4 linked regions of the Daphnia pulex genome follow. The protein of the gene in region 3 binds, or shares a complex with, the protein of the main gene of each other region. Links are inferred from orthologs where the notes say so. Each region holds a gene or a part of one and is shown on either strand. Other genes may lie near its edges.

Region 1 (7,448 bases), on a different chromosome or scaffold from region 3:
TAGTGGTGGATTCGCATGTGATTAGTTCGTAGGTCCAAATCAGTATAGTTCATATTCTGTCAAAAATGTTTCCTTATTTTTTTCTATATTTTTAAAGCGAAATAGATCCATGGAATACCCAGATTCTGTAAAATAATGCGAGTTTTGTCACATTTTTTTTTTATTTAAAATAAAATCTGAATTGGTTTCCTGTGGCAAGAAGTGTTCAAACATATTTCTGGTCCGCAAGGTGTCACCCGTGCATACAAGGGAGACTGGAGAGTGCTCGGGGACGAAGCCTTATGGACAATAGGGTTGGTGCATGAATAAGGGATTTGATTGAAAAAAAAATATCATCAGAATCAGTTTTTCACGTTGATTCTCATGGTATTTTTTTATATTTTTAAAATAATTTCTTCAGAGCGTAATCTGTGTTCAAAGTACAGTTAGGCTCCTCCCACTTCAAAACGGACCCCCCGCCATTTTTCCATCCAATGGGATGAAGTTTGCTCTTTTTCCCCCCTTTTCACCCTTTTTCGTGCTGCCTATACCCCCTCTTTTGCCCTTAGGGTCGAAAGGCGAAAGACGAAAAGGGTGAAAAGGGGGAAACTTCATCCCATTTTAAGGACCGCTCACCAAAAATGGCGTGGGGTCCGTTTTAAAATGGGGGGAGCTAATCTCAACTTTGAAGTGAGATTACGGGGGGATATTATTATTTTAAAAATATAAAAAAATACCATGAGAATCAGCGTGAAAAACTGATTCTAATGGTATTTTTTTCAAACGAATCCCTTATTCATGCACCAACCCTATTCCTTCAGTGCGACGCATTTTCATCAGCCATCACTCTGCTTTGGCTGATAGCAGAACAAAAATTTCTTACGCTTGTTGGAACGTCTACGGTAAGTCCCTCCATTTCTGCAGACGCATTTTGCCATTTTCCTTGTAGCATCTTGTAGTTTTAACGTACACTTTCCATCAAGCGTAACAAAAATTTTCGTTCTGAAGATATGAAGTGTAAAGATCCACATCAACAAAACTAGTACGACATTGTTATTAAATTTGAAGACTGAGAAAGTTATATTTTAATTTTTCTTGCTTTTGTTCGTAGAAAGTGCTGTTAATAAACGGTGAGAAAAACGCGTTTAAAAATGAGCATTTTAAATTTAGATTGCATATTTTCACGAATTAAAATATATCTTTGTATTTAGGACTTTTGGTAGTATGTTATCGAAATTAATCAGAGAAGAACCAACAAGTTTGATGTTAAATACCAAACTATGCCTCATTTCAATGACACATTCGAATACGTTTTTGTCTAGTACGGTATTCTTCAAAAATCAGCCAACTTGTCGGATCCATTTTCAGACTTCAGAAAGACCCGCGAGCCTTATTAAGATTTATCTGGAATGTATTTACCTGAATCGTTTCGGTCTGCGTGCTACAAGAGTTTCAGTAAATCAACCAGAGACGAACTTTGTTGGTTTTATGGAGAGTGTTGAATCATATTCGTCGGTTCAGCAATTTAGTTTGTTGATTCCTTTCAATCGCTTAGCTTCTAAATTGCGTGATATTTGTATCATTTTTGAAGTCCACGTAATTGGAGAGTCATCTTTTTGTTTACAGTTAACCGATTCACAATGGAAAAAACAGATTATTGAATCCATGAATGGGCCATTTACGGACCTCGTGTTAACGGTTAGAGGTCATAAGCTTCCAGTCCACAAATCAGTTTTGGCCGCTCGCTGCCCTGCTTTGACGGCAAAAATAAAAGATGCTGCAGTTGAACAACTTATTTTGGATGAAGATCCTGTTACTTTCCGAAGATTTCTTCATTTTCTCTACACTGGTCTACTAGATGACTGTGATTATTATCTCATAGATATGAAAACGTATGCAAAGAAATACTTCGTAGATGAAATGCTTCCTAAATTTACCGCAAATGGAACAATGGAAAAAATGGTCACGAAGTATTCTTATATTTAATTCATTTAAATTTCATAAACCATAAATTGATATATTTTTAGATGTGAAGCTGACGTGAACTCACAATTAACGAAAGGAGGTGTCGTAATGCAATATTCATGGACGTTGAAAAAGTTGCCAACTTTGAATCGCACAACTTTCTCTAATAAATCAAAGGACGGTATGTGGTTCGGCGTTGGTATTCAGTGTGTACGTATCATCCCATATACAAATTGTAGCGAGTTCGACCTATACTTTTTTACTGGTCGAAACAGTCGAGTGGTTGGTGTCTCATACTTCAACAGATGGGATCCCTGTTCACAGAAGAAACACAACATGGATCTTAATAAAAATCTGGTCTTCACAAGCAATTTCTCCGTTGCAAATGGATACAAATGTTACCAGTTCACGTTCTGTGTGACGATCGAACAAGCGGATAATGAGGAATATCGATACGAATTGCAGGACAGTCTTTGCCCAACTCAGCTTTGGCGTTCCGCTTTGGATGGCATGACCACCGATGTTCAGTTGCTCGTCTCTGGGCGTATCTTTCATGCCCATCGATGGATTTTGGCCGCCCGGAGCCCAGTTTTTGCCGCAATGTTTTCCCACGACATGCTCGAGGCGAATACTGGGTGTGTTGACATCAGCGACATTACACCAAGCATATTCGAACAAATTTTGTTCTTTATTTATAATGGCCGCATACTCGACTCTACCCCTAATTTACTTCTATTGGAGGCAGCTGATAAATACCAAATAGAAACGTTGGTTTTCATTTGTCGGGCTTCTTCATCTCCAATGGAAAAGGACAGTTGATATGGTGATATGTGCTGCATCAACAAATCAGTGCAACAAATTAGTGCAATCGTCAACAAATTAGTGCAATCGTTACTTTGATTCTATGTTTGTTAACCTATTATTTCTCAAAATAAAACAAATATACCGGCATCGACTGCACGTAGCGGATATCTATCTGCATATATCATTTCTAACGCTCCCTTAAAAAAACACACAAAACAAAAGTTTAGTTATAGACTTATCTTCAATTCTACCTATACAAGTAATATATAACAAACTAACAACAAGTCTTAGATCAAAGATATTTACGAAACCCCTAAGGACTAAAACTTGTTTATATTCGGCTTGATTTGTGATCTGTGATCTCACGGTAAATTTCTTGAATAAAGGAAATTGATTGATTGATTTTTTTGCTTTATTTAATACGGGCCCTCTACTGGCAGCAGATTGAACTGTTTCCATTCTTCGTCGGTTCCCATGTTATCTTAAAAAATTGCGGTTTTTGACAGATCCGGCCCACCCCACTGAAAAAAGCCAAAGAAAGCACTAAATTGAGTAGGGCCTAAATAGTGTCCGTGGAACATATTCTTGAACTATCTTAAGATTCTACGCTTTTCAGCTGTGCAAATTGCAAAAAATGGTTAGTTTGCTCTTAAACTTCTGTGTTGTGATTCAAACCCAGCTAATCCAAAAAGAACTTTGAAAATATTATGTTTTGAACTCATCAGACAAAAACACATTTCAAACACTTTACCACACCCTCTTCCTTTTATCATTCCTATCGTCTTATGTGTACACGTATAATTAATATTTTGTCATTTTTAGTCAGCAACTTTGAGGCCTTACTTGTCCGCAGTTAGAAGTACACTGGAAGCTGCAATGTGTTTGGAAAACTTTTCTTCCCAAGTTGTTGAAAGACACAATAAACCTGAAGTGGAAGTCAGGTAAGGTTAAATGAGTGAAAAAATTGAGTAAACATTAATAAATACTATTTTGAAACATAGAACAAGCAAGGAATTATTACTGAATCCAGTTGTTATTTCAAGAAATGAGAAAGAAAAAGTCTTGATAGAAGCCTCTATTAATTCTGTTCGGATTAGCATTTCTATCAAACAGGCTGATGAAATTGAAAAAATTCTTTGCCACAAATTTATGAGGTTCATGATGATGCGAGCAGAAAATTTTGTTGTTTTGAGACGAAAGCCTGTTGAGGTAAACTCTTTTTAACATATTCTAAAATATGTTGTTAAACTCTTTTTAAAATATTCTAAAATATGTTGTTAAGGTAAACTCTTTTTAAAATATTCTAAAATATGTTGTTATACATTGATAATTTCTCTAGGGTTATGACATAAGTTTCTTGATAACTAATTTTCATACTGAAGCCATGTACAAACATAAATTAGTGGATTTTGTCATCCACTTCATGGAAGAGATAGACAAAGAAATTAGCGAAATGAAATTGGCCGTCAACGCACGAGCCCGTGTGTGCGCTGAGGAGTTTTTAAAGCGGGTGTGTTTTACTGTCAATTTTTTCATCAGTTATTACCGACTAACATTTCCCATTTTTTAATAGTTTTAATTCGAGAATTTATTGGATAACTGGAAGAAAATTGAGACCAGATAATTCCCAAGTTTATTTGCATAAAAACCTGTTTCCAAGCCAAGCTAATTCAGTAAAATGATCCGACTTGTGTACAATCAGATAACTCCTAGTTTGAGTTCATGCACAAGCTCAAAAAATAATAAATGAAAATATTACAGAAAACTATATTGTATTTAGTCAAACTGGAGTGTGCATATTTCTTGATAATATCTACTTGGAACAATATCAGTGCTCCGCAATTAGATAGAAGGAGCTAACCAGTTCAAAAACTTCAAAGCCATTTCAAATCCTAAGAAGCAAACGGCATTTGCAGGGAAGGCTCTTTAAAGAAAAATGGACGTTAAAAAATGTTATCAAAAATTCTTATTTAATTAAATATGTCCCTATTACCTAAGAAACACTGGAACTGCTCCTCTATAGAGAGCTCGAACACCTTCTTCGCGCATCAACACTTTAAAGACGTCACGCACTCCATTAGGATACGTTCCTTCGGGAGCTTCAAGTGGGAAAATAATCGAAGATATAAAGTTATCATATTACCTTTCACTTAACTCATTTATTTAATAGCCTAATATCTGATTCTATTAAAAAATATTACCTGTTTGTAGTCTACTCTTCAGTACATCCGGTGGGATGGCAATAATCCAGTTGGCGATTCCTGCCATTCCACCGGCAAACATTGTCCGAATTGGGCTTAATTTCCCGTCGGAGTTTTCTGGTGCAAGTGCAACCTGGAGCCATTCATAGGTCATAAAATAGATCCCGCTGGCTGGAACATCTACCAAATCGAAAGAGAGTTCATCTGTAGTTGCAGAAATTTTCTTCTTGAACTATAGTTGAGTCAACCTTACCTCTGAGCAGTGTAGCTCCTGTTCCCCGATAGATACTCCGTATACCTCCTTGTTTATATAACTGCCGAATACAGTCAATTGGTCCTGCATACTTTGCAGGGCCAGTACTGGCTTGTTGAACCTACAAGCATTGGGTGAGAATTGATATAGTCTTCCTTAATTTTCACCACTTGCAAATCTACTACCTGAAGAAGACATTTAATTCTCTCACCAGGAGCCATGATGCTTTAAGATTGGAAAAAATAATGATTATTGATAGACAATGCTGTTAAAGGTTAAGTATAGTATTCGGTATTCCTACATTGTTGTGCCAATTGCAGAAAATGCTCCTGCATTAAAAAGCTGGAGTAATGATAGCCTTTCATTGGGATGGCTTTGTTGAAGCTTTTTTCCAATTCCAAAGCCTAGAAAACTTATGGCAAAAATAGGTGCAACTCCAGTAATTGGGGCAGCCATACCTTGATGAATAAGAATTTCAGATGATAGTTCAAATTGTCTAATATAATTACACACACTGGAAAAGACCCCAATATATCAAAATATATTCACCTTTATAGAGACCTCGAAATCCTTCATGCTTGATTGTTTTTGTCAAGCAGTCCCATGTTCCACTATACAGAGGAGCCTGTCCAGGTATGATAGGCATTGTTTGAAGTCGAACCTAAAGCAAAATGTTTTTAAAATCAATAAATATCAAGAAGAAGAACGTTCACATCATATACCTTTAAAGTATCAAACGGGTGGCCAACAAATATGGTACAAATACCGCCAAAACCACCGGCAAAAAAATTTTTGATTGGGCTGACTTTATTCACTTCGCCCATTTTATATTTTTTTCTAGTACTAGAACCTCTTGCAATTATTTAGACAAGAAAGAAATAACAAAGTGAAAAAACAGGGATGTGACTTTTAGTGATTGTAATTGTAAATAACTAGTGAAAGAGGAACTGGTTCTTCCAGTCTTTACAGCGCTTCACAGATAGAAACAAGCATGCTTGTAAGTTGTAGCAGCCGAAGCCCGAAAGAGCTGATATCCTATTGCCCCTTTAGGCAAAGTCAGATAACAACATTTCATTGGCCACTACGTTGATCGATACAAAATCTGCAAATTATCACTCGTTTAGACAAATTTAGATTTCATACCATCAATTAAAGTTAACTACTTCATCAAATAAATTTTCTTTCGCAATCGCGAAAAAAAAAATAATAATCGCATTTTACTGAGCAGCACTGAAGGCAATACAATCGTTTTTTTTTTTAGTGTCCATAATGATTCACACTCCCGTAGAGTGGCATTTTGGTGGATTTTTCCGTTTTTTCGAATAAGAATAACGGGAGAGCACGATATATTTAATTATTTATTACTGTATGTTTATTCATTTAAAATTATTCTGTAAACATATGAATAATGGGAATTGAAACATTGAATGTTGAATCTGAGTGAATTGTTTTCGAATTTTCAATTCATTGCCGTGTGATCCGCCTGTTATTATTTTGATTTTTTAAACAATCAATTGACAACAGCAAACAATGGACTGCAATATCCCCTCCCGATTTCTTCTGATTGAAATAAAAACAACAGGGTTATATGTAAGTACAATAGGGTTACAGGACGCCTCTCACAGGCCATCCCTTACAACAACAAATAATTTAATTCAAACAAAAAACAAGTAAGAATACCAAACAATAAAATTTATATGCTGAAGTAGTCTATGCTTATAAGTTTAGTCCTTAGAGGCTTCTTTCGCCTTTCTCTTGCAAGCTCATTCTCCCTAGTCAAATCTTCGGGCCTTCGATAAGGAGCGACAGTGACCTATATTTGAAGGCGTATTCCAACACCTTTTCAAATTCCTCAATTGTGGAGTCTGCAGTCAGTGTGCACTGTGCAGTCATGTTTGGTAGGAATTGATCCAACATCCACTTTTTCGCAGGCGGAGGATTAGCTAGGGGTTCCGACCGACGCGCTTCTCTACGGAACGCCAAATGACCCCCTAAAATAATAGCACTCGACTAGTGCTATTTATTTTACAAATCACTTGAATAATATACAACCGGGTGGCGCCATCTAGCGGTTTCAATTGGCGTAACGGAAGGTATCGATTTTTTCCAAAATGTACGTATTCATATCGATTGATAATAATTTCCACAAGCGAAATGGTGGAAACTATTGGTGGAACCGTGGAAAGATTCATGCCTTCATTGAAAGTGTCAAGTATGGCTGTGTCGTGTTATCGTGTATGTTCGTG
Region 2 (7,880 bases), on a different chromosome or scaffold from region 3:
AAGTACCCCTCCCCCCTAAAAAACCAACAAACAAAACAATATGAATTGTATTTGATATGAAACTTAATGTGTTCTCCCTATGCAAGTTACTCGTATCTATTTTTATTATTTCAGACGAGTGATAAACTCATCATTTTGAAAGAACAAGGAACAGAACGATCAGCTGGTGCATCAGAAGAAATCATTTACAAGATTGATATTCCTGCCAATAGATATGACTTATTGTGTTTAGAAGGTCTTGTGCAAGGTCTTCAAGTATTTTTGGGAGAGTAAGATAAATTCATAAACAAAACAAACTTATCATTAAATCAACAAATACCACTTTTTATTATTTCAATTAGAAAGCAATTTCCAGCTTTTAAAGTTGTTCCACCAGTGACAGTTCCTCAAAGATTAATTATCAAGCCTTCGGTGAGTCGTCATAAGAAATTTGTCATAATTATTATTTCAATTCAATACTATTTTTTATTACAGACTGCATCAATAAGACCACATGCTGTTGCAGCAGTTCTTAGAAACATCCACTTTGACCAAAACACTTTCAGTAGCTTCATAGATCTTCAGGATAAACTACATCAAAACTTGTGCAGGAAACGTAGTCTTGTTGCAATTGGAACTCATGATTTGGATACAGTCCATGGTCCATTTTTCTATGAAGCACTTCCACCTGATTCAATTAAGTTCAAGCCATTGAGCCAGAGTAAAGAGTTTACTGCTTCTCAGTTAATGGACTTGTATTCAGTAATCTATCTATCAATTGTGTCATTTTATGCTTTTAAAAATTAAAGATAATCATTTTTTACTAATTCAGACTGATAGCCATCTTCGCCACTATTTACCAATTATACGCGATAGTTCAGTCTATCCTGTTATCAAGGACAGTAATGGAGTAGTTCTTTCTATGCCACCTATTATCAATGGTGAACATTCAAAAATTACCTTAGATACGAAAAATGTTTTCATTGAATGCACTGCTACAGACCTAACCAAGGTAAATTGCCTTTATGAAAATGCAATTTTTTAAATTGCTTCTTTAATTGTTTAAATGTCTTCTTTTAGGCTAGCATCGTTTTGGACACTTTGGTCTGTATGTTTTCTAGGTACTGCGGGGATCAGTTTACTGTGGAGATATGCGAAGTAGAGACTCCAGAAGGAAAAATCAACAACTATCCGATTTTAAAAAATCGACATGAGAAAATCAGTGTTGACAAGATCAATACAATGGTGGGTATCAACGAAAAAGCTGACGAAATCGCAAATTTACTCACCCGAATGTGTTTAACTGCCACCGTGGAAGGAACTGGTTCCATTTCGGTAAAAAAAATGTAATGGTTAAATTATAGGATTTTGAAAATTCATGTAAAAATATTCCCTGGCAGGTTGAAATACCCCCCACTCGTCATGATATCATTCATGCGTGTGATGTCTATGAAGATGTGGCGATTGCTTTTGGATACAATAACATAACCAAAACTCTACCGAAAACTAACACCATAGCTTCACAGTTTCCCCTAAATAAGCTGTCAGATCAGTTGAGAGACCAGCTTGCTCAAGCCGGTTTCACAGAGGCTCTCACATTTTCGTTGTGCTCGAAGGAAGACATAAGCGAAAAGCTGAGGAAACCTCTGAACTCCGTTCCTGCAGTTCATGTTTCCAATCCGAAAACTTTGGAGTTCCAAGTAGCACGCACGACCTTACTTTCAGGTTTGCTCAAAACTATCGCTGCCAATAGGAAAATGCCTTTGCCCATGAAGGTAAAACCTATTTATTTAATAAGATAAGTTATAAAAGTTGTAAAACATATGGTTTCTGTTCTTCAAGCTATTTGAAGTATCCGATGTGGTAGTGAAAGACAGTCAGCGAGATGTTGGAGCTCGTAATTGCCGCAATCTGTGCGCCGTTTATTACAATAAGTCGCCTGGATTTGAATTAGTTCATGGTTTACTAGATCGCTTAATGCAATTGTTGGAAGTTCCACTGGATCAGAGTGGCAGCAAGGGATACTTCCTGAAACCATGCGAAGGTTCATTTCATATACTGCATCAATATTTTGATTACCTTCTTCTAAAGCTATAAAATTTACAGATGCAACTTTTTTCCCCGGACGATGCGCCCAAATCATTTTTGCTGGCACTGTTGTCGGAATCGTCGGAGTCTTACATCCTGATGTTGTGACATCCTTTGATTTAAATCTTCCATGTTCAGCTTTGGAGTTGAATATTGAACCGTTTTTGTAAGCAGTTACAAGAAATAAATGTGGTCTGTCATTAATGAGAAGCTAGTGTATTATTGAAAAATGTGAAACTAAGCGTTACAATTTAATCAATGAAGAAATCCTAATTAGGTAAACAGGGAAAATGTGCATTTAAACATCATGGAGTACGAATGAAAGTACGGCCGGTGATCGTTTTCTTTTCCACCGTTTTTGGTTCAGGTCGAGCTCGGTTTAATACTTTCAAAAAATCAGAAGTTTTGGCTCTCATGCGTGAATGAATGTAGGCTTTGCTACATTTGATGTGGTAGTGCAAATAGTCACGGAAGAGATGAATCAAATTAATGGTATTTTCGCGGACGTTTTTGTTCGTATGCCGTGGAAACAAGACTAAAAAGAATTATGACATAAATTTTACAGAAATCCATGTGTAAAAATAGAAATGATTTCATACCAAATGTAATGTATCCAATATTGTCACCAATTTTAGCATTTGTACTTTGAAGTTCCAGAGGAGGTTCTCGGTGAGAAAAAAGAACTTGTGGGGCAGTGTGAGAAGCTCGGCGACCTTCGCGAAGTTCTTGTAAGAAAACTTTACCTAACACAATATCATCCTCATCACGGAATACAGTGCTGAACACTACTGTTACTCTGTCTGCCTTAGCTTCTATGTACAATGTCTCTTCATCACGATAATTGATAACTGCTCTCTTGTGCCCTTCTTCACCTTATTAGAAAAGAAAAATTATAGAATTTCAGAGTATTGCTTTTGCTCATTATTTTTTTACCCTTTTCCTGAAATTCAAAATACTTCTCAAAAACAGATGCAAAGCAATTTCTTTTCAGCAGTCCAATTTTTTTTACTATTTCTTCCCAATTGCCAGGTATGTTATCCAAATCCAAAACAAGGGAAATATTGTACCCTTCAAAAAAAAAAAAGGATAAATAAACAAAGAAGATAAATAAAACCTTTTCACCAATAGGATATTACACATACCATCTTCAGCTTGACATAGTAGGTTCCCATATTCTCTTTTTAGTAACTCATCAGCACCATGTTCCTGAAGGTCTTTATAGAATTTCAGTGAAATGCTAACCTATAAAAATAACAATTAATTAATCCTGCAACATTTCATTTATAAGGTTTTCTTTCTAATAACTTACTCGAACTTTGGATTTATCAGAATCAGGGTTGGCAATATGAAAAAGAACCCCATCGAAATCAGCAATGACTACATTTACGGAATCCGGTTTATTTCTATACAAATTAGGAATAATATGTTTCGTAGCAATTCAAAAACAAATGTATATAAATTATTTACCCGGCAAGCGAATTTTTTATTTTAACTGTAAGGGTATCTTCAACAATTTTGTTATTTATTTCCAGAAGAATCATCGCGACGAAATGTGAATGTGATGACTTGTATCACAAAATTAAACAAATTTCAACATAGTCAGCACACAAGGAAATGTTAATGTTATCTGTCACAACTCACAAGACAACCACAAAAGAAAAGGGAGTGGACTTGCCGTTTGCCAGATTTCAACAAAGCAGGTGCGGTACGCAAGCACCAGCATGGTGTCATAGACAAAGACCATGGTTGTTGATATAATGGTTCCCACTGTCTGTGTTATAAGGTCCCATAAGGCAGCTGATTTTTTTGTGATCTTTGGTTACTGCGACAGCCCCGCGACCTGGTGTTGGAAGGGTGGAAGCTTACACTGAAACAACACAGAAATTTTCTAAGTCCCTCGTAAACAAATCAGAGCTATGCGTACTTTGCGCATCCGTTAAACAGATTGATTGACGATTTTCTAATTAAGATTAATTTCAGATGATAACAATAGATTTCATTGGTTCAATTTATAACTTGTAATGTGTATTAACGGCAGTCAGTGGAGCTTAATAACTTCCTTATGCTTTCAAGACTCGGAAGTGGTAAAATTCCATTTGCTTTCAAATGTCTATATGTCTTGCTGCTTTTAAGTCGAATTTGAAGACAATGCATCAAAAATAAAGGGTCGTAACGCATTCCTTTCTTACAGTTATCTTTTCCCGGTTTTGCTTTAGCTTTGTCCATCATAGTTTTCACGATTAACTGTTCCTGATAGAGATTTGAAAAATCTATTAATAAACTGATATATGATATGGTCTTTAGTAAGTATGGAATGTCATTGTCAATCGTCTGGAATATTATTTTTGAATAGTCTTGCGAATAAGTTGGATTTCACAAATGTGAGGGTTGGAATAAGGAATGATATCTCTATCGAAATAATTGGAAAACATTGGTCAAATAGGGAAGCATACATATAGTCTAGTCATGAGGTAATTAAATTAGTATTTCATTGTTACCGTAGGACTCAGGCACTTTAGTTTTTCGTCAAAGTTATTCTTTTTCTGTTCCTTAATCAATTTTTGGTTTGTAATAGTCAAAGTCTGCTTTTCTTTTTCTAAATTTGACACAATTCCAGAGACCAACTAAAATTACAAATAGAAAATATATTAATAGTAATCGTATGTTAATTTATGAATAACAAAAAAATAATTACTTTTCCTTGTTGGAGAATTCTTCTCATTGCTAAATTTCTCTTTTGCTGTTGGTTTTTCTTTTGAATTCCTGTCCTCTCAGCCTTACAACCTAATTGTTTCTTGCGAGTCATCAGATATTTCTTAAGGAATTTGCAATTCAAACAAACATTGTTTTCAGTAAGTCCTGTGCACCGGTTAGATCGTATGATTTTTCCGTCTTTCACAGCGCTACATCGGGACGTCACACAAACATTCGCTAGTGATAGTTCAACAATTCCATCACACACATTGCTTACTTCCACGGCACCAATAATGTTAGATAAATCTTCAATTACATTGAAATTAGTCTTAACATTACGGGGAAATATTTGTTTTCCATTGAGGAACAATTCCACCTTATTCATGGAGACAACTGAGATTGTTTTTATTACAATTTTGCGATCTGGAGAAAATGAATGACTGAAACACACGAGGGTTTTGTTAACCTTATCTTCTTGCCACATCCACGAAGAGGAAGGTAGTTTGACTCTCGCAATAACATCAGTGTATGTAGCTGGGTCAAGGTATCCTTCCATTTCTGTCTCCCGTGCTGTTTGTTCTGAATTTTCTTGTAACATTTCTTCTGTCATTTCACCCGGTGCTCCAATCAGTTCATCCACTTCCATATCATTTGGTTCAAATTCTACTCTCAATTGAGATTCAGATTCAGATTGTAGTTCTTTTTCAGGTGGAATGTGTAGGAGTGTTTCAGTAGTAGGTTCCTGGAACATGTCTTCTGTTGTTACACATGGTAATGCCACAGGTTCAGCTGCTTCCATATCATTTACTTTTCCTTTTTCAGCGTCAAGTTGGTGTATAGCTGTAACATAACATGTCATGTTTTTAAAAAATATCTTATTACACTTAGTTTTTAATTTACCTATGCTATTTGACGTTGACTTCTTTGCATGTGATGGGATCAATACATTGGTGTTGTTATTCGACAAAAATGATTGATTGTCCAACTGCAGCTTAGGATTAGCAGCTTTAGACTTTGCTGTTATATTTCGATATGGTGACTTAAACCTATCACTGTGAACATACTTCTTTGCAGCAGGTCTTTCGAGTACGCTGACATCATTTCCTGTTAGAAACATACAGAATTAGCAGTATTAGTATAACTTAACATTGTCATGGATAATTAAAATTTGAGAATACCTAGCAATTTACTGGGCCGAGCACCTGATTTTAATTTCCATTTCGGATAACTGTAAAACACGCCTTGAATTTCTCTCCCTTTAAGTATGTCGTTCTCTTCAAAATGAATACTGCAAATTCTGGACTGGCAAGTGAGTCCTGGCTTTTTAATAATTTCCTGCCAGGAATTTAGACACAACTTCGGTGGATGGAAAAACGCAAGACTTTCAATTTCTTTGTTATAAGAAGATTTACAATTAAAAACGAAAGGTTAAATCTATTGCCACGACATGATGTCGTGGCGCGACGGTCAAAACTGTCTATTGTCACGACATCTGTCGTGGCAATAAAGAGAAAATTGTCTATTGCCACGACACGCCACGATACGGCTATACTTCCTCTCTGATCTCTCATATCGTGGCAATAACACGAAATTTGTCTATTGCCACGACATATATTTTTTTAAAATTCGACATTCACGCATGTTAGGTTAGGTTAGGTTAGGTTAGGTTAGGTTAGGTTAGGTTAGGTTAGGTTAGGTTAGGTTAGGTTAGGTTAGGTTATGTATGTCAAGTTTTTTACAATAACATTTCAGCAGTGGTAGCCGAATGGTCAGCGATGAATGCCACCATGCGATAGCATGGCGTTCGATTCTCCGTCGAGAGGGTAATTTTTTATTTGGAGATTACAACAAAGGTTGAGTTTCACGGGATAATTGACAAGAAAATTGATGCGGGAATTATGCACATGTAGTTTTACCCTATTTAGTAGTTTTCCTAAACATCTTCTGTGGAACTTAGTACGAAAACGCATGTCGTGGCAATAGACAAAATTCGTGTTATTGTCACGATATGAGAGATCAGAGAGGAAGTATAGGCGTATCGTGGCAATAGACAATTTTCTCTTTATTGCCACGACAGATGTCGTGACAATAGACAGTTTTGACCGTCGCGCCACGACATATGTCGTGACAATAGATCTAACCAAAACGAAACATGGTTTGCGTGTCATTTTACATTAATCTGCATTTCCGCCATTAAAACGTGAATTCTTCGTTTCTGCAGTAAGCCATTCAGTTAGAGATTGTGTGGGCAGATGGCAGCACTTTCGTAGTAACCATGCCCTGAGGAAAGATCATTGACGGAGAACTTTCAATTTTTTTCTTATGGGACCTTATAACACAGACAGTGGGAACCATTATATCTACAACCATGACAAAGACCACTGGTTGATGCTGTCCATAAGAAAATTAACATGGCCAACTGTCGCCAGAATTCTTGCTACCCTTCCTCCGATTTTCCCGATTCTGTTTTGCTTGTCCTGCCCTCTAGTGTACGTTTTGTTCTCTACACTCTGCTTACATCTATTCCATTGCAATCATTCAATTGATTTCTCTGCTTTTGCAATTGGCAAACGTCAAAATTTAATACAAAATGACTTTTAAGTAAAAATTTGGATGAAAAAATTACCTAGAACTTTTAAACGCCAGCAAAGAATTTTACCAAGACAGAAGGAAAACAACTTTCGTCTGCAACACCCTTGCTAGCCACGGTGCAGTACAGCAGTTTATCCGCTAGGGGCAGGACAAGCAAAACAGAAACTCGGGGTCAGTAGGGATAGGGCTAAAAGGATAGGACATGCGAAACCAGTCTTCTTTATCTATGATGGTGTATTAGCATGGTGTATTAGTATGGTGGGGGGACTTATGGTTGGAATCGGCTATCTCGGCTGAAGCCAGTGGTCGGCTATGATCAGCGCTGCCTGGTGGACAATTGGGTGAACTATGAGCTATAAACGGTTTGAAAATTTTCTAAGTCCGATTGCAGTATTGCACTTTGCTTATGTACTTATAAAGCTATAAAATCGTAAAAAATGAGTCAATAACAATAATTAAGTATTATTTTTTGAGCTTTAATTATTTTAAAATTAATAGAAAAAAAATATGAAAAAAAAATGATGAAT
Region 3 (7,195 bases):
GGAACTTTGTACGAGATAAACAACCTCGAAATTTGGTTGCTTGTTATTGGTTGTCTGATTGGTGCCATGGCACTCATCGCAGCCCTGACTACATGCTGTCTGTTTACCAGGTAATAATTTAAAAAAGTTTTTCTTTTGCATTTTTTTTTTAATCCAGCTCCTTGAAAAACAATCTAGATACGAATCGAGAATGAAGAAATTAAATCCTGGCATTCAGGTAACTGGGCCGTCTGGAACGGGAACAAGGAGGTCTTCATCGATTGCTCAACCTCACGCTTCGTTATTGAATCTGAGCCCTGATAGCCAGATATATTACGATGGTCATTCGTCCCTTGCCAGATCGGTTCTGTAATATGAACAGAATGAACAGAAGGACGGTCTTTTATCAAGTGCAATCGCGCGTGTCGTTATTTACTTAAAACACGACTTGTGTTTGTGATTAACTTTACCATCTAAACTTTTGAACTCATAAACGTTATTTAGATGTCATTCTTATTTGCTTTCTACGTTCGTGACAGCCAGAGCTCACACAAAAAACTCCAATTCCAGACGGTTGGAACGATCAATTTTCTACTTTTTAGACCATGTAAATAACAGAGTAGCTTAGTTTACCGACGCATGATGATGGGCACCAAGAAATGTGAGGATGCATATCACGTTATATTCTCTCGAGTTTAAATTATTAAGCGCTATCTGACTCAGACAAGCTGTCTTCTAGTCTAGCCATACTTAACTGTCGTCATTAATTGGCACAGGCTAATCTTTCGGCATCGCAATCTTTCCAGCATCATGAACTTTAAGTGGCTTATTTTGTTACGAATGGAGCAGACTATCAACATCCGCAACAACAATTTTATTGGAACCATCCAACGCTTACTACTTAATTAGTCGTCTATCAATTTAGCGCCACGTAACGATTGGCTAATGCCTGTTGTAGGTTTCTTCTTCTTAACTTCGTAATAGGATTGGTATAAGGTGACACTAGGAGCCTATTCTAGAATTAGTTGTCTGCTCAGATTTGAAAAGTGAAATTACGTAATCATCTATAGATAAAATTACTTTTAAATGATTCCTCCCTTCCTACCTATAAGGCTATAAATTACTATAAATTGAGCGTTAAATTCCCGCCGAATCTGTTCTGTCGTGGCGTTCAAATCAACGTAAACATTTTATGTTGACGTGTGCACCAACGTGGCAACATTGTGAGCTGTCATCTTCGAATTGGAAAACGTGTAAAAGAAAAATCCAGAATATTGACTTTTGTTAAGTCGTTTGAGTTATACGGTTTTATCAGTTATCACGGTATCAGTACAGTTATATCAGACGAGAGTGCATTACTGATTATTCAGTATTATTACCAGCGTTCCTTCCAATCAAGTGCATTATGTCTCCTAGTCCTTTTTATCTATTTTTGTTGATCAGCTGTCTGTCCTTTACCAGTGCATCATCTAATAACTGTCAAGGCTGTGTTCAACTGGACTCTTACTCTTTTGAGAAGGCATGTTAATATTTATAAGCTTACCTTTTATATTTTAATGCCTTTGTGTAAATTGATTTTAAATTTTAAACAGGTTTTTCTTTGATATTGTTATTCAACATGTTAAATCAGCCAACAAATTAAGCATTATTTAACATATTATTATTGAAATTGCTTTGATTACCCAGGTTGTATCTAAATTCAAAGCTGCCATTGTGAAGATTGATGTTGCATATCCTTACGGTGAAAAACATGAACAATTCGGGAAATTGTCTTCCACCCTGTCTTCCAATCCGGACATCCTAGTTGCAGAAGTAGGAGTAAAAGATTATGGAGATAAAGAAAATGTAGACATAGCTGAACGATACAAGATTGTCAAAGAAGAGTACCCTGTGATGTTGTTGTTCACAGAAGGAAAGGCTGAGCCAATCCGATACCAGGTACCCAATAAAAAATTGTTAAAGCAAGTACATCAATGACATGGATCTGATTTCTGTGCAGGGAGAATTCAAACTCGATATGATGCAACGATTCGTAAGTTCCACGAGTGGTTTGTGGATCGGCTTACCGGGATGTTTGGAAGTATTTGACGGACTAGCAAACCGGTTTGTAGCTGCTTCAAGCCCTTCCGACCGGAAGGAAATCTTACGCCAATCGGAGGATGAATGGGACAAGGTTTCACTTGGCAGCGAACGGAAATCAGCTGAAGTATACGTCAAGGTTATGCGCAAAATGCTGGAGAAAGGCAACGATTTCCTTCAATCGGAATTATCTCGAGTGGACACACTGCGCAAAGGAAAATTGGCAAAAGAAAAGAAAGACGAAATGGAGAGACGAGTCAACATTCTCCAATCATTCCAGCCGAAACGTCCAGCTGCAAACACTGAACTATGAATCTAATAAAAAACTGTTCTTCTCGGCCATTCGATACATGCCGAATATGGTCCCTTTATTCATATAGTGCGAAGACCAAACCCAGCTATTCAAAGCGATGCATTCTCATTTTCTTCGCAAATACTGTATTTTTTTATTATTTGATGGGCCAATACAGCCATATAGTTCCAGACGTTGTTGTGTTTTTTTCTTATTGGTACAGGCAATAATATTAATGCTAAAAATAAAACTTGAACAAATTAGATTTATTTGATCAACCCATGTTGCACGTAATTAACGGAAAGATAAACGTAAGGATAAACGCAATGACTTCTTACATCCCAGGAGCTGATAATGACTTGTCCATGAACTTCTTTTTAGCAAAGCAGAGCCAAAATTTGGAAGGCTTTCCATCTTCTGTGCAGAAAACTTTATCTACCAGTCTTAAACCCATCTCTTGCCTGGCTTGCGTCAGATACTGCCTCAACAAATCTATTTAAAAAGCAACAGAAATGTTATCAGATGAGAAAAAGCATGTTTTTACAACTGCTACTCTACCTGCTTCATGCTGGCTGGTAGGTTTAGCATATACAGAGTTGAGCGGGAAACCAGGTTCCCCAGGAATGTCAAACTTTGATATTGCCAAGGTATACATCTCGTTCTGAGCTGTATTCTTGTTTGAACACTTTTGGAGCTTCTTTAGGCACTCTGTGATGTAGAGTGTAAGGTAGATCAGGAGTCTGTCTGCTTCGCTTTTGACTTCATATGTGCGGAAGAAGACATTTGCCTTGAAGTAGTACAATGCCTCATCCAGGACATCTGACTCCCCCATTTCTTTGGGAGCTGGCCCTCGGAACTGGGTTTTCAACGGCAAAATGGCCATATTCCCAACGACTTGGGGTGGGTTCAAAAACTGGGAATGATAAGCCTGTTGAAATCAGAAACAACACAATTGTCAGGCACAACACAAACCAACGTATTCTGCACTTTTCAAAAATCCGAAAAATACGACATCTGATAAACAAACTTACCGGCATTTCTGTGGAAAAAAATATGTGCGAATTGACAGCTCAAAAAGAAAAAAAAACACTGAGCCGGCTGATATTGCTCAATATTGAAAACAAGAAATTGTTGTGGTGGAAAAGGAAACCCAGCCCCTTCCTCAAAGATACTATAGTGACTTAGATATCGGCCGACGAAAGGCCGATACGATTACGTATCGATCATGTTGTAATGTCTATCGATTGTTATGCAGCCATTCGGTCGTGAATTGAGCTACACAAAAAAGGTAAGTTTTTTTGCAGCTGTTTTTTTATCTTGAATGCATTGATTTGGCTTGCTAGTCACGTATCACACGCCCGTCTGTGGTTGTGGTTATTCAGATAGAGTCTTGCCACTGTATTATTATCGACCAACGACTCACTCGTTTTCATTTGTTGCAACTCTAGCCAGGCTGTCGTCCTGGTTAGCTCAGAGGCGCCCATTTTTTTGTGTGTTGTTGTTGCCATCGTCGAACAAACTAAAAATAGATTCTCTTCATCACTTGCACATTTGATGTTTACACGTCATCCCTGTTTTGTTGGTACGGTTATCCCTGAGGGTAGTACTTGTACTACCAGAAGGCATTAAAGTAAATGCGGGTGTGTGTGTGTGGAGGGGGGGGGGGTGTGGGGGAGGTACGCTGTTCTGGGCCAGGCTTCCAGAACCTTTAATTCAGAATCAGAATAAATTTATAGAAAACTAAACTACTGCATCGATTTTCTTCAAACTTTTTGTGTACACTTACAGTAATTTATCTCAGCGCTTAGGTAAGTTTCGATTCATTTGGTAATACTAAATTTTATTAATTTTTATGCGGATTTAGTCATTAGCTTTTTGTGACTTAGGACAACCACAAAATCCATTAGGTTGTCTGTTGACAGTCTGTTGATGTCTTGTTCAGTAAAAATAAATTTCGTCAACAGTTTTGTTATTGTTACAGGATATTGTTTCTCTTTTAGAGAAGTTCAGTGGAACAAAGGTATTTTGATGTGTGCTATTCCATTTAAGAAATGTACGTAAATTCATCAATTTTGCTAGGCAATATTTTGGGATGAACAACTCACTGGCCCCATTGGTTTGGTGGCAGAATACAGTTTTCTTAAGGAACTAGATGTTGTAAAAATGTTCCAGTTAAAACCTGGGCGCTTGCCTTCCATATCTGTTAAAAATATACTGTTCATCACAAGACCTGAAGTTGAGCTGATAGATTTTATTGCCGATAACTTGCACAGGTATGAATAATCTACATATTTTAACTTTAAATAGTCAACAATAAGTTGATTTACATTTCAGCGAAGAAAGCCAAGGACATTCTGCTAGTAAGGAATATCAGTTAATTTTTGTCTCCCGACAAAGTGCAGTATGTGAACAGCGGCTCAAGGTTGGTTAAAGTTACTTAAATCAGCGAAGAAGAAATTGTTGACATAATTATTACTTCATTTAGGACAAAGGAGTGTATGGAACTCTTACTTCTATTGATGAACTGCCTGTTGATTTTTTCCCACTAGATAGTGATGTCATTTCAATGGAACTCGATAATGTTTTCAAGGTATTTATTTATGAGCCAAACTTTGAAAGGGATTGCTTGTCATCAACTTCTTCAAATTTATTCTCAGGATTTATATGTTGACAATGAAATCAGCTCCTTACACCAAATGGCTCATGGGTTAATGTCCCTCCAAAGTTTATATGGCATTTTCCCCAACGTTGTGGGTAAGGGGCGCCATGCCCGTAACTTATTCGAATTGATGACTCGAATGCGACGTGATATTGGGGTAGACTGTGATCCCCCCATGTCTCCGTTGTTCGACACTCTCATGATCATTGATTGGACTGTAGATTTGATAACTCCTTTTGTCACTCAGTTGACCTATGAGGGTCTTATCGACGAATTCTATGGAATAAAACATAGTAAGAAAGTATTGTTAGCTTCTGAGTAAAACAATTATTTTACTTGCATTTTGTGGTTTCATTGTTATTTAGATACAGTCAAGTTTCCAGGAGAAAATTTTCAAGCCTCATCACATGCGGGCCAGTCACCTCGCTCTGATGGTAGCTCTGTTAAATCTGTTGTTCTAAACTCGGCCGAAGAGCTTTACGCTGATTTGAGGTGAAATTTTGAATCAGACAAATTTTGCTTCCGACAGTTTTAAAAGTTATTTATTTTCGCAGGGACAAGAACTTTTCAGCCGTGGGTACTGCACTCAGTCACAAAGCTAAAGCTATTTCAGCTCAGTAGCCTGGATAACGCCATTGTTGCATTTGGAGGTGTTAAGGTTTCTGCATTCGCACGCGATAGTGGAGAAATATTCCTAGACTCCTTCGATGATTCGGTAATCATGGTAAGTTTAAACTCAATAAGATTTCTCAAGCAGTTTTTTTCATCGGGATTTTTTTTTCTTGTGTATTCTCTTTAGATCAACCCGGATATACCTGATGAAAGGGAGCTGAGGGAGTGGCTTAAAGACAATCAGTAAACAAATCCTTTTTTACTGATTGTCTGAAGATCTTAATTACTTGACGTCCTTAAACATCGACTGCAGCTAATTGCCTCCATCTTTTTTCTCGAATTGTTGCCTCCATCTGTTTCCCTGAATTGTTGCCTTGCCTCAAACTTTTTTCCTAAAATATGGCTACGATCTTGTAACCTGAACTGTTGCCTCGATGTTGTAACCTCAACTGTTGCCTTTTTACCTCAGCCCTTGTGATGGAGAAATTGGGCCACTGTCTGAGTTTAACTCAAGAATTTACATTGTTTATTATTTTATTTCGTAAATGATACAGAAAAAAAATCAAGGAAATTACAATAAACACAAATTACGAAATTCCTACATTTTAATTGTTTTGAAAATATAAGCAAAAGCTTTTAACTGATATCTTGCCCGTTAATACCCGAGGGCGAACCTGGAAGGGTCTTGTATTTTGCCCATATATCGCCTCGAGAGAATGTGACTCTTTCAATGTCTTAAAATTTGCATAAAATCAGCATGGATGGACCATAACATTCCCGACCTTGAGGGCATCTTCCTGCCTCGTGTACCAACAATTTTCCTGGGTCGTTTTCTTTGTGGGAGGGGGGTGTTGACAAGCATGCCGGCGATTTGCTGCGTAGTAACAATCCGATCCAGTTGTTGTGATTCTCTTGTTTTCACGCTATTGTACGCAGGCACACAAGCCGTGGGGGGTAGTTGAACGAAAAAGAGACGCATGGCGAATTTCGATGCCCGTAAGAGGAGATACAAAAACCCACTCTGAGTCGTGAACGAAATCTTTACCCTCTGTGATGATGTCAGCATCTCTCGAACCTTCTTCCACGTCTGATGAAATGTACGAATTGACGAAATAATCAAAAAAAGGAGCGGTTGTTGAATGGCGGCCACAAAGTGTCGGATGCCTTCGTCATCTCATTTGTGGATATCACGCAAAAGGCAATTTGATATTGGCAGCATTCCGCAGCTGATGTCGAAATTCAATCCCAGTTGGATTTCAGTGGGGATGTGGATCTACGTCGTAGTTTTGATTCATTCATGATTCTCGTCGATTAATCCTATTTTCTTTTTTGCTTTCCAGGTTTTGATTTGTCTAGTCGTGCAACGTTGGGTCCCGCCTGTGCACGCTGAAAGGGCGGCCTCCTCGAGTCTGCGTCCCATCGATCCGGAAGAGAACGATGCCACGTATCCCCACGGTGTATTACTGCACGCGACCCAAAGTGAATCAGGTCCAGTAACGGACGGATAGTGTGTCGGTGCGGATCGCTCCCCCCAAGAAGAAAACCTGCTTCGTCCTGTTTTTCAAGCAAAGCGG
Region 4 (8,216 bases), on a different chromosome or scaffold from region 3:
TTAGGAGTAATGTCTTATTGATTCTTTATTATTTTACAGCGCCGGACGAAACGGGAGTGAAACAAAAAATTTTAAATAAAACAAAATAAATAAATAAAAAGGGAAAAAGGCCCTGAAAAAATAGAAATAAAAACAGAAATAAAACGAGGTTTACTCGAGAGTTTCCTTTCCCTCTGTCTGCTGTGCTTATAAGCAGCCAAGTGTTCCGTGATAATCGATCGCTGTGAGAACTCTGCTGGAATATTGCCGTCGAGACTGAGACCTCGAGCTAAAAGTTCTCACCATGCATAAGGACACATACTAGGCGTTCGCACAGATCTTTACAGTCTTATATCCTTAGACTTTATACACATTTTATATGTTCATCGACTGTATATACCGACATCAATATTTATACAGAAGGACGTTAACAAAAAAAGAGAAAGAAAAACTCTCAAGTGGTAAGGAGGATTTATAGGGGAACCAAAGTGGCTGTGTGCTTAGACGCATTGAAAATTTGAAATGCGCCGCCTATAATATCCAACAGCGCTGGCTTGTTAACTTTTTTCCTCTCTCTCTCTCTTCTTTTTATAACCAGGTTTACACATTACAGACGCACACACTCGTCAAATTTCAAATAGAAGAAGAAAAAGTATTCTTTTATTTATTTGCGGTGGATGAAAATGGCCAATAATCATGTTTCCAAAGTGTTTTCCAATTTTCAGATTATTTATTATTCAGTTGTGATTTCCCCCGCACAATGACGACAGCGCAGTAGACATGCAAATAAGGGGTGATTCATGCGTCAATTTCCCCATCCATTGAACCTTTGCATCATTGAACCCCCGCCAACAGTTTATAACGTCCCCGGGAAATGCAAATACCTTAAATGGTTAATTAAAACACGTAACCGAGAAGGAAAGTATATACAGAAAACCTCTAGCGCATATGCCTCGCTCTTTCTCAATGTTTGTTTGTTGTGGGTGGATGAAATTCTAGTCGCCAGCAGCCAGCGCAGGATGAGATCACGGATCGGAAGGTTCGGCAAAAGGGGAAAAGAAACACATTCGTGGGAGGAAGTTTCCATTCCAGCATAGTAGGTAAAAATAAATGTTTTAAAAAAAAAGTTTGTTTTCATCGGAAATCCTGCCCGGTACAGTATAATGACTGCCGGTCTCCCTATCAACTAAACAGGAAAAACAGGAAATCGACAGTTTATTATTCTCTCATTCGATTTAAAAAAAAAAAAAAGAAACGTTTCTTTTCCGAGCTCATTATGAATGCAAAACTGCTTAACACCAGCAATGGATCGGCATTCGGCAGTTATTTGGTATTTTTCGAATAACAAATTGTCCTTTGGAGGAGGCAGTATAAGGGGGGAAAAGGGAAAGATAACGATCTGGTATCACGTCATCTGGTTTGGAATTCCAACCGTCGAAAAACTCGTCCCTTTAGCCAAAACATTCCACGAAAGACAATTTCACATGTGTAGAAAAACCACCTTCGGCAATCAATGCCATCAGCATACAAAGCTGCCGAGCTTCTATGACGTCAAATCCCAACGACTCACACGCGATGCTCAACATTTTCGTTTCTCGATAAAACTAAAAAAAGATTTTTACATAATAATGGCGGAGGAAGTATGTGTGCATCGATATGTGGTCTATAGAGACATTCACGCAACCGAAATATATATACATATAGCCAAACAGAATGTATTCGGGTAATGTATTATCTAAATCCATGACATGCCAGTGACAAGAATTCAATTTTTTTTTTCTTCTTCATGTAACAATTTCAAATAATGAGAGAGGGGGAGGGAGCGATAGAACTGGAAGAAAAGGGGTGGTGAACGGCGGACTGATTGCGGATGAGCGAACGGAAAGCTGTTTGATTGCGTCTTTGATGCAACAAATAACGACTGTAGTGTGTTATTAAGTGGTTATAGAGTGATCAGGGATAGCAGGGTTTCGTGTATGAACATCAAATACGTTAGGGTCATTCATATCGGACAGGTTACTTTGCATTACGCCCCAATATCACCTTTAAGGGGCTATTGAAGACTACTATTTAGCTCTCAACGACTTGATTGCATTTGCATCGAATTGATTTCTTCATTTGCAACAGCGAACGCTTCCACCCAACCACACACTTGGCCTCGACGACAAATAGACAAGGAATGACTGTCATCCAATTATTCGGTATATGCTGAATCACTTAATAAAATTAAGGATGATAATGAACCCAGTTGATTATTTCGGCAAATAGACACCACGACGGCGCAAAGAAAGAAAAACATCTTTCTTTTCTTTTTTAGTAGAGACGGAAAATGGTAGAAAAGCCAACAAACAACAGGCACTTGAACAAATCCGGTTCTACCAATCAACTCAAGTTGCTCACCCTAAATCACCCATGAACTTAAAATTGGAAAGTATGTAGAAAAAGGAAAAAAAAAAAGGAAAAGTAAGACCAGAAGGAAGAGGAAAACAAACAAGCACCATCATTTCTCTCGAGTAAAAGGGGGGGGGGGGAGACAAGTCAACTTGGGAGAGGGAGGAAACGGGGTAGGCATGGTGTCAGGAAAAACAGCGGACTGGATTCAAAAACAAATGCTAGTAGGAAAAAAAAATTGAGGGTCAAATGAGGAAGGATAAACGGAGAAAAATAAACGGAAAAGAACTTGTTCACTTTCCTCTCTGTGAAAATGATAATTACATTTGATACGGCCCTCCTTACACATTGTTGAATTATTACAGAGGAAACCTCGATCTGATCGATGCCTTATGGCGCTTCCTTTTTGCGCGCTGTACCTTGATTTTTGTTTTTGTTCTACAGGTAATTATGTCATAGTACCAAACACTGGATTGTGCCTACAAATGCTCGGCCCGTACTCCTCATACGCAGCTTTAGTGTGACACACTTGATAAAATTCAGGCTGCAAACCGGGGAGAGAAAGCCAAAAAAAAAAAAAAAAAGATAAGTCAGTTAATTTCCTTTCTTACGTAATTTATCGCTATCACATACCGTTGAAGCAAGTAGACTTCCACCGAACCATACCGCATAGCGTTGCATGTGGTGCGATACCACTTGAACGTCAATAGGTTTCGGCTGTAAACCAAGAACAAAAATATTCAATTACAACTATTACGCCAGTTCCTGGATGTGGGAACCGTCGCGTATCCCGTTCAGCCAACCCATTCGACCACAACTCTTAAATACAAGTGGAAACTCACCGTCAGTTTGCCTCCACTCAGCTGTTCACTGATTTTGAGCCGAGCGTCGCTAACACGCTTGATATCTCGTTGCAACCGCCGACCAAAATCCTTAAACATGGTCGATCCACCCGACAATACGATGTTCTTGTACAATGGCCTCCTCACATCAATAGGGCAGTTTTGAATGACTGTGTCAACAACTTCTGATATAGGGGTCGTGAAATCGGGGTTGGCAAACTGCAATATCAAAATGAATGAAAACATGATTCGGTCTACAATAGCCAATGCAAAATGCAGACGAAAATGAATAAAATCTACCTCTGGGTGAAAGAAAATCTCGGGTCCTAAGAAACGCTCATAGCCAACATCAACGCCAAACGGCTGCTTGGTGATGGAATTGAGGCCTTCGAATTTCTGCATCCATTTATTGGGCTCAGCATCGTACTTGGCAAATTCTTTTGCAATATCAGGACAAATGTAACAGTAGCGCTCTTTAACAGCCTTGGCTGTCTCGAGCGATTGCTCAGGTGGAATGCCAATTTCTCTTTCACGGAGAAGGGATTGAATGAAATAGGTTATGTTGCGACCTGCAATTGGGATGTGCTTTATGCAACTTCCAATAACATATCCTTCAGCCTACAAAAATCAAGACAACAATTAGAAAGCGCCCAAATGAAAAGCAAATTATTTATAATAATATCAGTTACCACTGGGATCACATGGGTAACACCATCACCACTATCAATCACAATACCAGTCAAGGTTCTTTCACCCAACTGCCTTGAGGTCCAAGAGGCAGCCAGAGCAAGGACTGCTTGAACAGCTATGTACAGACCGGGAACGTTGAAAGATTCAAACATGATCTCTGCTGTGTACTCCCTGTTTTCCGGGGTGTTTAAAGGGGGTTCTGTTAGCAAGAAATGGTGGTCTTCTGGTTCTGCTCGCAGATATTTGAATATGCTCTGTTCTAAGAACCGCTCCATAAGGTCCCAATCTTCAACAATCCCATGACGTACAGGATACTGCAATGGTAATTAAACCAAAATGAATGATCTGTTTTCAATAATAACTATTTCCACTTGAAAAATAGCTGAATTGACAAATCTCATAAGTAAGGTGTTTGTTACCAATCATGTAAACAAACTGTCATTTGCATTAAAACTTACTTAAAAATAAGATAATTTAAGTTATGAATGAAAAAAAGTCATACTTTGACTGAATATCCCCCATTTCCTGCTTCGAGGGCTTCGTCACCAATAAAGAAGTCAAGATCTTCGATTCCCTTTCCTAACCTTCTCGAAGCTTGGTCACCAACCTTTGCTGTTTCTTTAATGGCAATGGCTGAAGGTATAATGTATTGAGGCTCTTTATTGCCAGCATAACCAAGCTTGGAATAACTAAAAAAAAACAAAAATTTATTAGAAGTGTTAACAACCTTTCCAGAATAGGCACACTGAGATGAGATTGCAGTCTGTCAGACAGACCAGACCAAAGCATATCCTTACCCTGTTCCGATGTCAATCACACAAGCCGGTAATCTTCCGGTCATTTCACACAATTATTGTTTAAAACCTTTAACACTATTTCTCTGATTTAATCCTTATTGTGATTAGACACAGAAATTGTAAACGAAATTAGCTTAATTCGAAACACCGGCAGCGTCTAGAGCGATGAGTGTTCAATCCCCACCCCTGGCAGTTTCAGACTACGGCCACCAGGTGGCAACAGAACTTCCTCTGACAATCTGATAAGGATTTTTTTTCTTTTTTTTTAATGAGACAAACATGGTAAGGTTATCTTATTTATCATATGCGGAGATAAGGCCATAGTTCAGTTATTCCAATGGTTAATAAACGGTGGACGTTAAAGAAGTAAAACATCCCATAACGATTGGTAAAATTGAATTGCGCCAGATTTTGAAGACATCTAGCGTGATTTGAATGAATCTGATTGAACTTTTGTGAAATCAGAAGGCAACCATATGTGACGTAAAAAGAAGTTTTCGTCATAAAAAAAAGATATTTTAAGGAACAATAAAAAAAATTTATGGTCTTGATGAGAAACAGAAAAAAATTTATCCGGAAATCCGGACCCTATCCTCACGAGTCGAAGATACCAGATACCCCTGCTCTTTCATCTTTGGTCTAGCAATCAAGTTTGAATTTTCAATTTAAAAAAAAAAAGGGTTGTTTCCTTTTCATTTTCTTTCCTACCATCTTTTGCTTCCTGCCCTTGAAACCAATTAGATTTTATTGGATGGGGCTTTCGTGGCAACCAACGGTTCAGTAAACGAGTAACTGGGGATTCTGATTCGGTCTGCAAGTCAAACTCACCATTCTATACACGCGCAAAACTCGCCACAGGCTATTTAAACCGAGACGGTAAATCTACAGGGGAGCATTTCATTTCAGTACGGCCATTGTGTTTGTACAATGAACATTCTCATCTTTTCCTGCATGACACGGCATTCCAACTAAATTTGAGACAGTCATGTTCTATGAGAATATTGACACTAAAAAGAAAAACTTATATCGCTAATATTCTCATTTCTTTATCTTAAAGGAAAATGTTGACTCTGCGTCACACCGCATCCTAATGGCTTTTGAATTTTAGCCCTCACTTTCGTATCTATCGCTCTATCAGCATATTACTCACACACAGCAATTGCTTTTTTGGGGGGTGACATAATCTTGCAAACTGTTAAGTACGTTAAAATTACCAGCCAAAGTGACGACAAATTTCAGCAAGTTGGCATATTTAATCCCATAAGCTATACTGACATTTCCCGATTCTAATGAAGTTGTACAAGAATACTTGAAACTTTCCCTTTGTCCATTCGCCCTACACCGCATATATCTCTCTCAAGTAGTTTCTTTTTAAAAACTCCATGAAGCAAAAGCGGCGGAAGGAACCACACAGCAACGACGTGACGATTTTTCTTTTAAAAGTCAACTTTATACTCGACTGGGATCGAGTTTTAGTTCACTCAGCTTAGCTACACCAAAGAGAGCTAATAACGTTCTCTTCTGCCAACGACAGGAAATAGAAATCCTCATTCAGGGCCCGTCAATATCACGTAATAAATATCGCTGGGCAACGCGCTACAAAAATAGTAGCTTATAAGAACACGGGTATATTGAAAACGGTTTGCTTCCTGTAGGATCAAATGTAACGATCGCCAATTTTTCTTTACAGACTTTTAGCACTTTTATGGACTCGTCGTCGGTGCTCTATTTTTACGTACTACACTGATACCTGTATACTATATAAATCTCTTTATAAATAGAGTTGATTATTGAAAAACATCACAACATTCACTTGCATAACTATATGCGTAGCTTCTTCCATGGCCGGAGGCCCTTTCAGAAAATTCTCAGTAAGTAAATTTCGGGTCTGATTGAATTGCTCGTAATCGAATAGCAAGATCCTATTCCGGTCCGAGCATGAGATAGTCATCACTTGACGTTTGAATATGCAACGTCTAGTCTCATCAATCCGATCAATACTTAGCTGAGACTTTGGCGCGCGTGCTCACGTTAGTCCAAGCCAACGTAACTCCTGGAAGCAGCACACGGAGAAAGAAAAACCAAAAATGGATGATGGAGGGAATCGGGGACGACGAGCCGTGGGGCTAGGGGCCGTGTTGGAAGGGGGGAAAAGCCTCTGCGCGCGCATCATAGTCCCACGACGCTTTCAATAGTAGCACACAGGAAAGGAGACAACCAGAAAGCTGCTTCTTCAGTTTTCATAACAAGCTTCAACCGCTTGAACGTCGCTCGCGTCTGTCTCTTAATCATCAGCGATTCTGTCAGGTATGTTGGGATGATTGACAACTGAATGTTAAACTGTAAAATGCTATAGTCAGTCATATCGTTCTATTTCTAGTTTCAAATAGCTATAACGAGCAGCTTTTCGAAAAAAAGGAGGATAACAAAAATGTGGAGCCCGGTAGTGCATTCGACGAAAAACGAAACGGGTCCCGTACCTCGGACACGCTTCAAACACGCAAGCTGTGTTGATCCCCAGAGACGAGTGGTATATATAAAAGAGACATTTCTTGACCAAGTTTCATCGATTCCCCCGTCAAATCTTTTTTTATTTATTTTCCTTTTTTCTCACTTGTATTTTCGATCAGGTTTATTTACTCGGCGGACGCTCTTCCAATATCCCCCTCAAAGATTTCTGGGTGATGGATCTCGGTAAGAGCATTGTCTCTGCTCAAATAACATTTTCTCTCCCGCGATTACCATAAATTTGAATGTTTTGATGGAATGTCGTCGACAGATACCGGTATATGGACGTCGCTGGGTAGCAAAGGGACGCCTTTGAATGTTCAAGAGCATTCGATGGTCTACTGGAACGACTGCGTCTACGTATTTGGCGGGATATTTGCGCCAGCTGACGAATGCCCACTGTGGACGTACACCATTTCGGTATAGCTCAGTTTATGATTTCAATATAGCATGGGAACACTTTATAAGACTCTTATTTATTTTACCATTTCAGGATAATACTTGGAGCAAATGGCAATCTAAAAAGAACTGTGCTCCGATTTCAAGGAAAGGTCACACGGCGGTTGTCTACGAGGATCGCATGTACGTTTATGGAGGATATCAAGACATGAGAGGATCGCTCGGAGAACTATGGGAATTCTCTTTTAGTAAGGAACAATTTCTTGTTCAACATTTCTTTCCCCTTTCAATATCGACATTGTTTCCAAACTATTTGTATAATAGAGTCTCATTCGTGGAAAATGATCCATGGTGGTAAAGCGAAAAAATCCTCCGATGTTGTTCCACCACCTAGACACAGTCATACTGCGGTTGTGTTTGACCAAGAAATGTGGGTCTATGGAGGAATGACGGATTTGGCGGAGAGATCAGATTTCTGGAGATTAGACCTAGGTATTGCGTATTTATTACAGTTACTTTAGCAGTTCATTTTCACATCAAACTTTATATAACAGTCACCATGCAATGGACTTGCGTCAAATGTAAGCCGTTAGGCCCAGGTCCACTACAC

Evidence for each region.
Region 1: actin-related protein 2/3 complex subunit 3-like (region 3) and actin-related protein 2/3 complex subunit 4 share a complex: the UniProt entries of both Caenorhabditis elegans proteins name them as parts of the arp2/3 complex. The link is inferred for Daphnia pulex from reciprocal best matches to the Caenorhabditis elegans genes arx-5 and arx-6.
Region 2: actin-related protein 2/3 complex subunit 3-like (region 3) and probable actin-related protein 2/3 complex subunit 2 share a complex: the UniProt entries of both Caenorhabditis elegans proteins name them as parts of the arp2/3 complex. The link is inferred for Daphnia pulex from reciprocal best matches to the Caenorhabditis elegans genes arx-5 and arx-4.
Region 4: actin-related protein 2/3 complex subunit 3-like (region 3) and actin-related protein 3 share a complex: the UniProt entries of both Caenorhabditis elegans proteins name them as parts of the arp2/3 complex. The link is inferred for Daphnia pulex from reciprocal best matches to the Caenorhabditis elegans genes arx-5 and arx-1.

The regions. Positions count from the first base shown.
Region 1 is NC_060028.1:5,629,964-5,637,411, forward strand, and holds actin-related protein 2/3 complex subunit 4, read left to right. Parts: upstream 1-3,210; 5' UTR 3,211-3,382; coding exon 3,383-3,385; intron 3,386-3,570; coding exon 3,571-3,689; intron 3,690-3,749; coding exon 3,750-3,957; intron 3,958-4,087; coding exon 4,088-4,258; intron 4,259-4,321; coding exon 4,322-4,327; 3' UTR 4,328-4,513; downstream 4,514-7,448. Other genes in the region: uncharacterized protein LOC124209792, read left to right, coding at 1,204-1,949, 2,007-2,763; mitochondrial carnitine/acylcarnitine carrier protein-like, read right to left, coding at 4,591-4,672, 4,742-4,847, 4,950-5,129, 5,203-5,323, 5,388-5,427, 5,504-5,660, 5,752-5,863, 5,925-6,026. UniProt on the Caenorhabditis elegans protein: Functions as actin-binding component of the Arp2/3 complex which is involved in regulation of actin polymerization and together with an activating nucleation-promoting factor (NPF) mediates the formation of branched actin networks.
Region 2 is NC_060024.1:1,046,471-1,054,350, forward strand, and holds probable actin-related protein 2/3 complex subunit 2, read right to left. Parts: upstream 3,756-7,880; 5' UTR 3,609-3,755; coding exon 3,535-3,608; intron 3,471-3,534; coding exon 3,377-3,470; intron 3,310-3,376; coding exon 3,210-3,309; intron 3,136-3,209; coding exon 3,001-3,135; intron 2,940-3,000; coding exon 2,667-2,939; intron 2,603-2,666; coding exon 2,373-2,602; 3' UTR 2,238-2,372; downstream 1-2,237. Other genes in the region: phenylalanine--tRNA ligase beta subunit-like, read left to right, coding at 115-269, 342-411, 475-741, 812-991, 1,060-1,314, 1,380-1,754, 1,822-2,023, 2,086-2,237; uncharacterized protein LOC124201224, read right to left, coding at 4,096-4,317, 4,566-4,691, 4,763-5,560. UniProt on the Caenorhabditis elegans protein: Functions as actin-binding component of the Arp2/3 complex which is involved in regulation of actin polymerization and together with an activating nucleation-promoting factor (NPF) mediates the formation of branched actin networks.
Region 3 is NC_060026.1:13,598,552-13,605,746, forward strand, and holds actin-related protein 2/3 complex subunit 3-like, read right to left. Parts: upstream 3,653-7,195; 5' UTR 3,388-3,652; coding exon 3,382-3,387; intron 3,279-3,381; coding exon 2,909-3,278; intron 2,843-2,908; coding exon 2,685-2,842; 3' UTR 2,596-2,684; downstream 1-2,595. Other genes in the region: cadherin-87A-like, read left to right, coding at 1-110, 178-352; endoplasmic reticulum resident protein 29-like, read left to right, coding at 1,385-1,498, 1,666-1,917, 1,979-2,371; vacuolar protein sorting-associated protein 33A-like, read left to right, coding at 4,514-4,623, 4,685-4,772, 4,836-4,940, 5,008-5,302, 5,375-5,501, 5,564-5,630. UniProt on the Caenorhabditis elegans protein: Functions as a component of the Arp2/3 complex which is involved in regulation of actin polymerization and together with an activating nucleation-promoting factor (NPF) mediates the formation of branched actin networks.
Region 4 is NC_060017.1:5,488,715-5,496,930, forward strand, and holds actin-related protein 3, read right to left. Parts: upstream 4,907-8,216; 5' UTR 4,744-4,906; coding exon 4,700-4,743; intron 4,592-4,699; coding exon 4,405-4,591; intron 4,217-4,404; coding exon 3,902-4,216; intron 3,831-3,901; coding exon 3,513-3,830; intron 3,432-3,512; coding exon 3,213-3,431; intron 3,088-3,212; coding exon 3,004-3,087; intron 2,915-3,003; coding exon 2,819-2,914; 3' UTR 1,694-2,818; downstream 1-1,693. Other genes in the region: RING finger protein B-like, read left to right, coding at 7,131-7,229, 7,330-7,393, 7,479-7,627, 7,701-7,854, 7,931-8,098, 8,161-8,216. UniProt on the Caenorhabditis elegans protein: Functions as ATP-binding component of the Arp2/3 complex which is involved in regulation of actin polymerization and together with an activating nucleation-promoting factor (NPF) mediates the formation of branched actin networks.